Linked DNA regions of Oryzias latipes. Each later gene encodes a partner of the first gene's protein in a complex. Links are inferred from orthologs where the notes say so. Each region holds a gene or a part of one and is shown in the gene's direction. Other genes may lie near its edges.

Evidence for each region.
Region 2: the proteins of cdk4 (region 1) and cdkn1b are in contact, whole or in part, in a crystal structure (PDB 6P8F), measured with the Homo sapiens proteins. The link is inferred for Oryzias latipes from reciprocal best matches to the Homo sapiens genes CDK4 and CDKN1B. Residues at the interface, in NP_000066.1 of Homo sapiens: Gly18, Thr19, Val20, Tyr21, Lys22, Ala23, Arg24, Asp25, Pro26, His27, Ser28, His30, Val32, Leu34, Ser36, Met75, Asp76, Cys78, Ala79, Thr80, Ser81, Lys88, Thr90, Val92; in NP_004055.1 of Homo sapiens: Glu53, Ser56, Lys59, Trp60, Phe62, Phe64, Gln65, His67, Lys68, Pro69, Lys73, Tyr74, Glu75, Trp76, Gln77, Glu78, Val79.
Region 3: the proteins of cdk4 (region 1) and cyclin-dependent kinase inhibitor 1-like are in contact, whole or in part, in a crystal structure (PDB 6P8H), measured with the Homo sapiens proteins. The link is inferred for Oryzias latipes from reciprocal best matches to the Homo sapiens genes CDK4 and CDKN1A. Residues at the interface, in NP_000066.1 of Homo sapiens: Gly18, Thr19, Val20, Tyr21, Lys22, Ala23, Asp25, Val32, Leu34, Ser36, Met75, Asp76, Cys78, Ala79, Thr80, Lys88, Thr90, Val92; in NP_000380.1 of Homo sapiens: Met38, Cys41, Ile42, Ala45, Arg48, Trp49, Phe51, Phe53, Val54, Glu56, Asp62, Phe63, Ala64, Trp65, Glu66, Arg67.

What each region holds. Positions count from the first base shown.
Region 1 is NC_019863.2:27,221,912-27,226,288, forward strand, and holds the start of cdk4 (cyclin-dependent kinase 4), read left to right. Parts: upstream 1-1,561; 5' UTR 1,562-1,786; intron 1,787-3,493; 5' UTR 3,494-3,500; coding exon 3,501-3,718; intron 3,719-3,794; coding exon 3,795-3,930; intron 3,931-4,025; coding exon 4,026-4,193; intron 4,194-4,377.
Region 2 is NC_019864.2:11,436,182-11,440,522, forward strand, and holds the start of cdkn1b (cyclin-dependent kinase inhibitor 1B), read left to right. Parts: upstream 1-1,435; 5' UTR 1,436-1,756; coding exon 1,757-2,183; intron 2,184-2,385; coding exon 2,386-2,501; 3' UTR 2,502-2,514; intron 2,515-3,304; 3' UTR 3,305-4,341. Other genes in the region: yars2 (tyrosine--tRNA ligase, mitochondrial), read left to right, coding at 119-278. UniProt on the Homo sapiens protein: Important regulator of cell cycle progression. Inhibits the kinase activity of CDK2 bound to cyclin A, but has little inhibitory activity on CDK2 bound to SPDYA. Involved in G1 arrest. Potent inhibitor of cyclin E- and cyclin A-CDK2 complexes.
Region 3 is NC_019863.2:2,308,631-2,311,511, reverse strand, and holds cyclin-dependent kinase inhibitor 1-like, read left to right. Parts: upstream 1-1,253; 5' UTR 1,254-1,257; coding exon of another isoform or gene 1,258-1,266; coding exon 1,267-1,681; intron 1,682-2,133; coding exon 2,134-2,189; 3' UTR 2,190-2,234; downstream 2,235-2,881. UniProt on the Homo sapiens protein: Plays an important role in controlling cell cycle progression and DNA damage-induced G2 arrest. Involved in p53/TP53 mediated inhibition of cellular proliferation in response to DNA damage.

The sequences.
Region 1 (4,377 bases):
TGGGGCAGACAAAGACCTGTGTGTCTGAAATATTGAGAGGAAAAAGTCCCATAAATGTAGATAAAAAACCCAGTTGTTGTATTTTTCCTGCCTCCAGTGAAGAGCATCCCCTCTTTGGTTCTGCAGCTGTGTAGCACACTGTAAATGGACACACATGGGACATTTATGCCCTTGAGGGTCACTATGATTCCTCCAGAGACAGGGGACAGATCAAACTTGATGGCACTTCTTTTACCAGATCTTACAAAAGTGGCTTAAAGACAGACAACACTGGGTAATATAATAACTACTCCTTTCTGTATATTTTTATTTTTATGACATTATTTTTTTTAATGACATTTTTACTAATTTGAAAAATCAAAATTGAGGAAACTCTTATTTGTGAGTTTAAATATTTTACGATGTAAGTTAGTGAACTTTTAATAAGTTCTGGCTTGAGGTCTAATCTCTTATCTTTTAAACATGCAAAACTGGCATTTTATAGTATTGAATTTACCACATAATGTTGCATTAAATTTATTTTGAACAGAGTTAAATGTTTTATACCTTGAGGGTGTATTTTATTTGTTTGTTTGTTTTTAAAATAGGACAAAATTTTGACCAATTTTGTCTCATTTTGCAATGAATAAATTTAAAGTAAGCTTTTATGGTAACATTAATGAACAACTAAAAACTATGCTGGTATCAACTCTCAAGAAAATATTTAAACTGATGTGCATATATTTTTAAAAATCATGTTTTTACAACACATTTAGCTTTTTATTTAACCCGTTATTTACAAATAAATCATTAATGTTAACATACTAATCTTTACAATACATTCATGAAAAAGAAGGCAGCATACCGTAGGATCAAAATAATTAGAAAACCACATTGTGGACGTCATTAAAATGTTGACATTCACTTAATTTGAAAATCCAAATCACTGAATTAAATAATTTTTTAGAGATTGAGATTTTTAATTTCAACTATTTGTATAAAAGGTTTTTTTTTAACAATGTAAATATTTTCTTTCAACATATTTAATTACATTCATTTTCTAATTCTTTTTTAACATTGATCTATTCAGTTCTCTAAACAAAACCACAGTTTTAACTGTGGTGTAAACAACCACAATGATAGTTTGCAGTTGTGTAAGTCAATGGAGTGAAAAAAAATAAAACACTTCCAGTGAAGATACTCTAGTTTATTGACTTAATTTCTGGTTGAAGAATAGAAAAGTTAGGTATCTTATAAAAAACCCAATCAACCATGATTTGATTATTGAATTACCTAATTACATTGCCTTAAAATGAAATATATGTATTAAAAACCTCTATAATAAGATATAGGCTTTCCAAGTTTATAACATTTTTGTCCATTTCTTTTTTATTTAGTGTAAACAGTAAATCACTGTTTTCTCCCTCTTATGTGAAGCAAGTGGGGTCGTTTTCCCCCCTTTTTTAAATAAAACGGCTTAACAAAAAATAGGTCGCACGAATTTGTGGCTTTTGATAACAAAAAGCTTTTTTTGTTTTTTTCTTCAAATGGTTTGTGGTAAAAACTTAAGCTCCGCCCCCTGAGAAGCTAAAGCAACAGGAAGATAACCGAAAACGAGCGCAGGCTGGAAGGAAAGCGGCGGAGGCCGAAATCTTTTCCACATCAAAGTCGCTGTTCGGCCGTAAACTTCAGCCTGGACTCGACCTGCCACCTCTGACCCGTTCTGCTCCAGATAAACGTGGCAGATCAACGAGCATGCTCGAACTAAAGTGAGCTCTCTTGCCCTTAAAGAAAAAAAACGGCCGAGGTAAGCTTTTTTTATGTGTGACCTGTCGAATACACAAACCTGCGGAGGAGTATGGTTTTGCCGCGTTACGCTTTTATGTTGAACAGATGTGAAAAGTTAAAAGGCGGTGATGTGTCTCCTCCGCCGCTGACTATAGTCCCCCGCTTTTTCTTCCGCCACGTTCAGACCAATGATCAGACACGTGTGTGTGCGTGTGTGAGCTAGAAAAGTGCATGTGGACTGTTTCTGCTGCATTTTCTTGCTCTAAATTAACAAAGGACTGCCACAGAGGAGCACCACGTGTCTGCCCCGGCCTACTGATTTCACATGAACATCCGCCCACTGCTTTGGAGTCACCGGCCTGCTTCTCGCTTGATAAGGCGGGGAATGAATGAGACATGGAGGGCGAACGTCCGGCTTTGCCTATCTGATAATCGATACATTTTTCTGTGATCACGAGCTGCTGTCATGCGCAAACTGGTTCAAGAAGATCCCCTCAAACAACGGCTGTTGGGAGTTTCACCTAGTTTATACTCTGGACTCACTGTGTCTCTCCCAAAACACAGAAATGATTGTTTTAGTTAAAAATTTATAGATTTGTGAATTTTATTTCTTTTCTATTTATTGTATGTTGTTTGATTTATAAAAATAAGTTTTTACATAATTCCATGTACTCTAATCTGGAATAGTATATATATTCATTTCCAAAAAAATTACCAAAAAGCATTTTCCCATCATTTAGGATAAACCAAGTTAAAGAAAAATGCTCCACTGTGTTGGTGCTTTATGCAAAAGTCTCTCAAAAATGTGCTTTTAATGTGTATAAATTGATCTTTTTGCGGCTCTTTTGTCCTCTGGTTTCTATGCTGTAAACAAACAGCAGAGGCAGAAAAACTTGCTGCAGGAAAACGAAACACTAAACGCACAGGAGAAGCTCAGGAAAGTTTTGACACAAAGTGACACAAATGTCACATGTCACTCTGGGGAAGGGATCAATCCAGCCAGGCATCATTGTCAAACCATTCCTTATGTGCAGAGAGAGATTCCTGATTTAAAAACACTAAAGAGCCACTCCAATCATCATTTGATCTATTTTAAAAGCGTTCCCAGTGATCTTTTAATGTTGTGTAATTTTCTAGGACATAGTTTCTGCAGAGCAGATGGAGTTACGGTAATCAAAATTTTTCCTCTGAGTTGTGTTGAGCAAGCCTGCCCTGACTTCCCATCATCCCTTTGTCTGCATTCTGTCTTGCTAGCTTACAGTCCCTCACAACCGCAAGCAGCACAAATAAATGGTGATCATTATTGGAGTTACCCGGCCATATAGCTTTGAGCCAGATACTAGCTCAGACGAGGAAAACGAAGATGGATCTAGTCATCTGCGAGTGGATGTATCTGCATGGACAGAAACAGGGAGCTTGAGGCCCGCCGATTGTATTTTGTATACAAGTAAAAACTTTTTCTAACAGCAGTTTTTGGTCTGCTCCTGATTCACTATGATTTGAAAAAAGAAGAAGTAGTAAAGCAGTTTTAATTTCAATTTTCCTAATATATGTCCTCCAACATGAGAAGAAAATGCTACCAAAACATGTCAAACAACCAGAAACGCTGTTTTCTTTTGGAGTGGTTCTTTTAAAGACTTTTTCCCTCAGTAAATCCCTCAAAAGTGCTGCTCTGGAGTTTGAGGTGTCTGTATAAATGTGAGATGACCCCAGTCTCGTCTCCCAGTCTGAGCATGGCGCAGTGCACCGGTCTGCAGTACGAGCCGGTGGCAGAGATCGGTGGTGGCGCATACGGGACCGTCTACAAGGCTCGCGACATCGAGAGTGGCAAGTTCGTCGCCCTGAAGAACGTGCGCGTCCAGACTGACCAAAATGGCCTCCCGGTGTCCACGGTCAGAGAGGTGGCGCTGTTGAAGCGCCTAGAGCAGTTTGACCACCCCAATGTGGTCAGGTAGGAGAGTTATCACAGGTTTTGTCTCAAATGTTGCCCCCCCTCCACCTCATCAGTGCTTGCTACTTTCATCCAGGCTTATGGATGTGTGTGCCACCAAGAGATCCGACCAGGAAACCAAAGTCACTCTGGTGTTTGAGCATGTGGACCAAGACCTGAAAACGTATCTAGAGAGAGCTCCAGCTCCAGGGTTGTCACCAGAGCGCGTGAAAGTGAGTCCCTGAAGAAAAGAATAAAAACTGATGGCAGCTACTGTTTGGAACTGATTCTCTTTCTTTTTTTGTGTGAAATATTTCTCTGTCTTCAGGACTTGATGAAGCAGTTGCTGTCTGGCCTCTCCTTCCTCCACTCAAACCGCGTGATGCACAGAGACCTGAAACCCGAGAACATTCTGGTGACCAGCCAGGGCCAGGTCAAACTAGCAGACTTTGGCTTAGCGAGGATATACAGCTGCCACATGGCCCTCACTCCTGTGGTAAGATCTGCTGTGTGCTCACGTCTTGATCATCAGCAGCGGTTTGGTTAATGTTGTTTTTTTGAACAATCGCTTTGGAGATGATTATTTCATTTGTTTTTGCTGTCTGTTTTGGCTTCTTTTCTTGGAATAAATCATTTTCAGTTACGACACAACCCTGACCGTTTAACACCAGAATGGTGTC
Region 2 (4,341 bases), on another chromosome or scaffold:
CAAATCCACTAAATGTTGAAATACACAAAGATTTCTATCCTGCTGCTTTGGGTTTGGTTGAAAACACTTGAAATGAATGGGATTTGGATCCTGACTGAGCCGTCGTGTTCGCTTGCAGGTACCAGATGGTTTCAGACGGAGCCGTGTGGATCAACCACACACGGGCGGACAAACCGGAGCAGGTTCTCGTCCCCAAACTCCACGTCCTGTCCAACGGACTCACTCTGCTCAGAGTGGGCAAGAGGAACTACTACATCATCAAGTGGCTCGGTCTTTGAGGCTGCACCGCCCACCGCAGTGCCTGTACGCCGTAAAGGACTTACAGGCAAGGTAGGCGACTAAAGCAGACTGTAGCGGACTCATAATGGTGACTCTGTAAGTCCATGTGGCCTTTGTTAAAAATGTAATCGTACAGACAACTTTAGTATTTAAAGGTATTAAAAGATTTGTGCTTCCAGAGTTGTGTGTTAGATGAAGCTCTAGGGGGCGCTGTTGGCTTGACAGTGGTTGAGTGAACACTGCTGCACCTCCTATCCTGCTCTGACCCTTTGAGTAAATAATTGCTCACAGCTAAATTAGATTGCATCATTTCTGTCAAAAGGCTTTTGGTTCTATTTAAAGACGACTGCGCCACTTTCAATTTAAGCATCAAGCTGCCCTCTATTCTCATTTAGGGGTGTTTATTTTTTTTTGCATGTGAATAAAAAGTAAAAACTAAGAAGCTTTATGATAAATCTGGAAAAAAACAGTTGACTTTAGGATAGCAGAAATTTATTTTCATCTTTATATGTTATTACTTCATATATAAATATTTTCAGTCAATAATTCCGATATATGTACAGATTTTGTTACGGTAAGAAAATTTTTTAGAATTAAAATGTTTATTAGGCTTTTACTAAATCAGCTCAGTTTGGGGTCCTCTTACTGGACTTTATCTCCATTTAGGACCACAGGTTCATTTATTAGTGTCCATTGAAAGAATATGATGCAACAATTTCAGTTTTGTTTTGGATTTTACTCCATTTTAATTGTATTTATTAATTTTACTGTACATCCAAAATGTTTAAAATAAATACTGAATATGTGTGTTTTAGAACATATTGGCACTATTTGTATGGTTGCAATCCAATTTTTTTCTTCAAATTTAGATGTCTTAAAATGTTTAATCCATTTTACTTTTTGAAACTTGTACATTAAGTTACATCAAATGTGTGAACTTATTTACTTTGTAAAAAAAATAAAAAAGGTAAGTAATATGTTTAGAACAGCATGCCTTATGCAATTATTCGGTCTACCTTAAATAAAGTGGGCGGGTCTAAAGAGCTCCATCCAATGAGTGCGCTTCTTGGGTTTTAAATGGCTCCGTATGTCAATCATGTGTAACCCTCCTCCCCCTCCCTCCAAAGTCAACCTCCCCTCTCAATCCCCACTACATGTCTCAATCGCCATATTGGGTACCGAGAGGTTCGCCTCCGCTTCCCGCTGTACGGAGCGACGTTGACAGCGAGCTTTGGTTCGTTCTCCCGTCGTTTGGATGATTGGCGTAAGCCGTCTTCGGCTCAGGAAATCGCAGCCGTGTTTGCCTCCAGCTCGACGTGCGCATGGTCGTTTCACGCCTGTTTTGGATCTTTCCCCGTGACTAGGAGGACATACCTTTTTTTTCTTTTCTTTTTTCTTCTTGAGGTGTGTTTTTCGCCTGAAAACTGGACGCTCCCGGCTGCTTGAAATTTTTACCTTTTTTCCGGGGGGCTTAACCATGTCTAACGTTCGACTTTCGAGCGGGAGCCCGACTTTGGAGAGGACGGAGCCCCGGGTGTCGGAACACCCGAAGCCGTCAGCCTGCAGGAGCCTCTTCGGCTCGGTGGACCACGAAGAGTTAAAGAGGGATTTAAATGTACATTTGCGGGAGTTTGAAGAGGCTGCCTCCGCCAAGTGGGGCTTCGACTTCGCGACTGACACACCGCTGCCCAACAGCAGGCTGGAGTGGGAGCTGGTGAACGCCAGAGACCTGCCGAGTTTCTACACCCGCCTGCCGCGGCGAGAACGAGGCGTTTGCCCCGGGAATAACAATGTGGATCTAAACGGGAATCATGACTGTGTCGGGACAGTTCCCAGCCGCTCTGACGCTCAGATGGAGTGCACGGAGCAGTGCGGCGGGCTGAGGAAGAGACCTGCGTGTCACGGTATGACATTAGCATCAAACGACCCGTTGCTGTGTAACAGATCGCCGGGCGGCAGCTTTGTGCTCGCGGTACTGGTATGCGGGATGAGGGGGTCGTAAAGCGGGGGAAACTGCCGTAAAATCCCAGAGAACATTGAGCACCCCGACCATTTTTTTCTCTCTGTAATATATAGTTTATTTTACTCATTTATTTATTTTTGCAGACCCTTCGGCCCCAAGTAAGAAGTCTCACACCAGCCCGGAGGAGGTTAGCTGTCCGAGCCTGAGCCAGTCTGCAGAACACACACCCAGAAAGACCAGCCCCAAGAGACCAACGTGAGCACGGCGACACGGTGAGCGAACCACTTCAATTTAAAAAAAACTGTTAACCTCGAATTTAAAAAAAAAAAAAGATATTAAATTTTACATCATTTTTTTTTTTATTTGTATTGACGCATTCTAGCGCAAAAAAGTGAAGTCTGTTTATTAAACCAAGAGGATTTATATGACACGCCAATAAAGAATTTTTAAAAAAAAAAGTTTTTTCCTCCTTGCGGCCGATGTTCGTCTGCTGAACTGTAAACAACAAGCTGAACAACAGTGTAGTAGTAACACGTCAGCAGCCAGTGGCCTCCGCGCGGACGGGAAGGGGCAGGTCTCTGAGCGCGCGCGCGCAGAAACACACGCAGACATGTACACTCCCTGCTGCAGAGGAGAGTACGAGAGTTCTGCAGGTCTACTATGACCCACAAGAGAGAAGGAGCACAGAAACCTGCTCTAAGCTGTCAGGTGTGAACCTTTAAAGGTTGTGGCAAAAAAAGTCAAGGTTAAATTAGCGGAACTTTGACTTCGATTTATCTTTAAGTAAAAAAAAATCCCATGTTCATTTTCGTCTCTTCTTAGTAAAAATAAAAGTTAACAGAACTGAAAAAATTGCACGTTTTTGTAAATGGTATGCAGCCGAGCTTTATTTGAGTTGATAGTTTTGTTTTGTTTTTGGAAATGACTAGTTTCTTCTTTTTTTTCAGTCATACCTCAGAACACTGTCAATACTTTAGCAGTAGTAGTTGCATCTCCTAAAAGAAAAAAAAGTACTAACCTTTCAACCTCTTTGTTTTTGTCTTTTGTTCTGATCTCCAACAGAGCTCAAGATGTGCCCCTCCCAGTTTTTTTTTCTCTGTACGAGTGTGTTTGCGTATGCGTGCATGTGTTTTTTTTTGTTTTTTTGTTTTTAAGACTGCGTTGATCTTTTTTTTTTTTTTTTAATTATTCTTTCCTTTTTTTGGACGAGGATCTACACAGCATCAGAAACATATCAGCTCTCCTGAGGACGGGGGAGGACGCTGTTGAAGCACTGAAGAGAAACACTAAAGTTTGTGGCACTCATTGAAATGTTACTGCCTCTAACAGCAGTCCATGTAGCAGCGTGCAATTAGGTTTGATTTTTTTCTTTTTTTAACTACCTGTGTGTAAATAATTTAATAAATAAATATATATGTTTTCTATGTAGCACATAAAAACATTGATTTTTTTTTTTTTTTAATCCTTTGTGTAAAAGAGGTGTGAATTTTGATTTGACTTGAAGTGTTCGGTTTGAAACATGTTTCCAAAATGCTGTTCTGTTTGCATTTTATTATTATTATTAATATTTTTGAAAGGCACTGTGGTGTTGACCCAGTCCATAAATGCTACATTTAAAAAAAAAGAAAGAAAATCATGGTTTTAGTTTCTCAACAGTGTGCCTTTATGCCGTCATCTTCCTAACTCAACAGCAAGGAATGGTACAAATGTAGCTCATCTGCCTAATGAACGTGTTTTTCTTTTCTTCCCTTTTTTGTGTTGAGGCCACTTTTTCTTTTTTCTTTTTTTTAAAGATCCACAGGAAATGGCACAGGATGAAATTAAAAATTTCAGCAAGTACCTTTTATTTTCCTTTTTTTTTTTTTAATATTTATTTTAAAATTGGAGTTCTGATGCTTTTATTTTGTAAATGTTTCGATCCCCAGAGTTGTGAGGCACTCATTTTTTTTTTGAAGGACAAAGACCATGCACATGTTTCCAGGCTGTCAAACCTAAGTTAAATGTTTCTCCTGTACCAAATACACACTCGCTTTTATTTGGTTTTCAGAGTTGACTTCACATCGTATGACTTTGTGATAACCTTGAATGCTTTTATTTGT
Region 3 (2,881 bases), about 25 Mb from region 1:
TTTGAGCAGTCTAGGTCCAGCAGTTTTTGAACCGGACCCCATCTAAGGAGATCTTAGTGCAAAAAAAACAGTGGAATGCTCCTTTAGTGCACTCGCGAATCGGAAGCTGTGAATCGGATGCTAACTTCAGCGTCGTTGATCCAACATTCTGGTTATATGAATTAAAAAAGTTTCCTGGTAACTTATTAAATCAAAAAAAAGTTTTCCAGAAGTCCTATCTAGGGTGTTTTGATGCGCGCGCGCGTCCTCCGCGTGAGTACGGCGGTGACAGCCCCGTTTGAATGGGGGACACGTGCTCCAGGTTCACGTGGAGCCTCGTAGTAACCGAACGGGGCTGGTCCAAACCCGGATTCATACTCTCCCGCCATGGCCTGAACGCCCGCCCCGATGGGAGTCGGCCGCGCCCCCAGTGACCCCGCCCCGAAGAGACAACAGAAGCTTTATGTCGGTCTATGACGTCATGAAAAGTCTGGGTTACTCTGCTAGATCACCGTTCCAGCCTCAATGGAAGAATCAAAACATTCAAAAATAAGATATTTAATGTCAATATCCATCAGTCTGAGCTTTAAGAACAGCGGGATTATAATGTGGAGAAACCTAAATATTAATTTAAACATTATCACTAAAGAACTGGAAATAGTTTTAAACCAGATAAAGGAAAATATTCATATTTTTGGTATAAATTGTTTTCTAAAGTGTTTTTTAAAACAAAAAAAAAACAGGAACAACCATTTTTAATTTATGTATTATAATAAAATCATATCTAACAAGCTGCTGGGGGTTTGTTTGCTGTCTATCCTCATTTTCTGCTCTCTTTAAAAAAAAAACAACAAGCTTTACTGTGGACTATTTTGTCCTCCTGGATAACCAGCCTGGCCTGGGATGGACTTCCTTTTTTCCTAAAAAGGAAAATGTCCTGTTCAGGGTGATGCGGTCTGTCATGCAGACTGAGGTGGAAGGACACCTCTGGTGGTGGATCTGTCATTGCCACTCTGCCCCCTAGTGGCGGCTCTGTGTTGTCGGCCTGTCAGATTATGTCCAGGCATGTACCGATGATTCAGCCTCTCCTAAGAGGGAGGGAGGAGAGGAGAGGCACAGCTCTGCTTTTCTCTGATGGTCTGTAGAGTGAACAGTCATGGTGAGCTCGGAACTTTTTACACTTTGGGTTTTTCTTTGACTCTTTTACTGCTTTACATGATCCATCTCATCATCATATGACATCTGAGATCTAACCAGGAGTGTTCTGTGTTCAAACAGTGCAGAACCATGGCTGCTCCAAAGCGGATTCCCGCCGCTCCCAGGAGGCCCGCGAGGCGAAACCTGTTTGGCCCGGTGGACCGGGAGCAGCTTCAGCTGGAGTACCAGGCCGCCCTGCGGAAAGACCTGGACGAAGCGTCCCTTCGCTGGGGCTTCGACTTCCGCTCCGACAAGCCCCTGGAGGGCAGCCACTTCCTGTGGGAGAGCGTCCCGGGGGCCGGAGTGCCGCTGCTGTACCGCTGTCAGGATGCTGGACGGGTCCAGAAGACGGCGGAGACCAGGACCCCCCCCAAGAGACGAAGATCTGAGCTGCCGCAGAGGGAGAAGGAGAACATCCCACTGACAGAGAACATCTTCAACGTGGAGAAAACACCAGAGAAGGAGGAGAAGGCCGGGATGAAGAGGAAACAGACAAACATCACAGGTGCTTTCATTTGTTTTGAATCGTGTTCTTATGACGCTTTATTGACGATGGAGGACATTTATAAAGAAAAGCTTAGTATTTAATTGTTCAAAGCAGATAAAAAATGTTAGAAAAAGAGAGTATCTGCATTCATTTACAGACAAATAGGTCCAAAAAACTTTTTTAGTCCCTCGTCTGAGCTAGAAGAGTAATGTGAGGGGCTGTAAGCCAGCTAGAGAGGGTACAAATAGATGGATAATGGGAGGTAGGGGCGGGGTTACTCTGAGCTAATGCCCCGCCCACATCTCAGAGGTGACGACAAGATTATTTCATTTTGGCTAAAAAAGGCATAATCGTAATCAAAAGACGACAGGGAAGGCTTTTCTCAAAATATGATGGGAGTGGAACGTTCAGCTGCGTCTGTGTCGTTGCACCGATTCCCCCTGAGCTCAGTGTCGCTTTCATCCCTGCAGATTTCTACCAAGCTAAACGACGAATGGTCTGGATGCCGCGGAAATCGGGCGAGTGACGGAGGAGCGCACACGCCACGCCCCACTCAGAAGCCACGCCCTCCGCAGGAGTCCGTACCTGTGAACTCGGGAGGGGTTCAGCTACATTTCACTGCTCAGTTAATTAGGCTACTGTATGTGGGGGGGGATCGGTGCCTTTCCCTGGGCTAAGAAGGGGACATTTGAGCAGAGAAGATTAACGGTAATCCACGGAATCAGTGGATTTATCCTCATTTGGATCAAGCGGTTGCCAAAGTGATGACAGACATTTTCGCCGCTGTACATTCCACATCTCGGCTCCCACCCACAGGAGAGGAGGAAGATGTACAGCATGTGTTAAAATCACAATGTCCCCCCTTTTTTTATGCTGAAGTGAAGAGTTTTATATGAACTATTGGGAAAAAGAGATTCAACGTCTCCAAGTCTAGAGACGCTCTGCTTCCATCACGAACCACAAACCTGCATTTCCCTTCATGTCCTGTCTCTTATTCGTCAAATTCATCTGCTGCTCTGTCCTGACGTGTGAATGGCTCTGGATTATGAATGTTCAGTGTGTAGCAATTTATCTCTTTGGAGCATTAACCCCTTGTGCTATGTTGTTGGGTCAAAATGACCCCACCCTTACATTGACGTGTTATCCCTACCATGAGAAATGTAGATAAAGGTGGAGAGGATTTCATGTAAACATTGAAAAAAAAGGTTCAGCTCACTG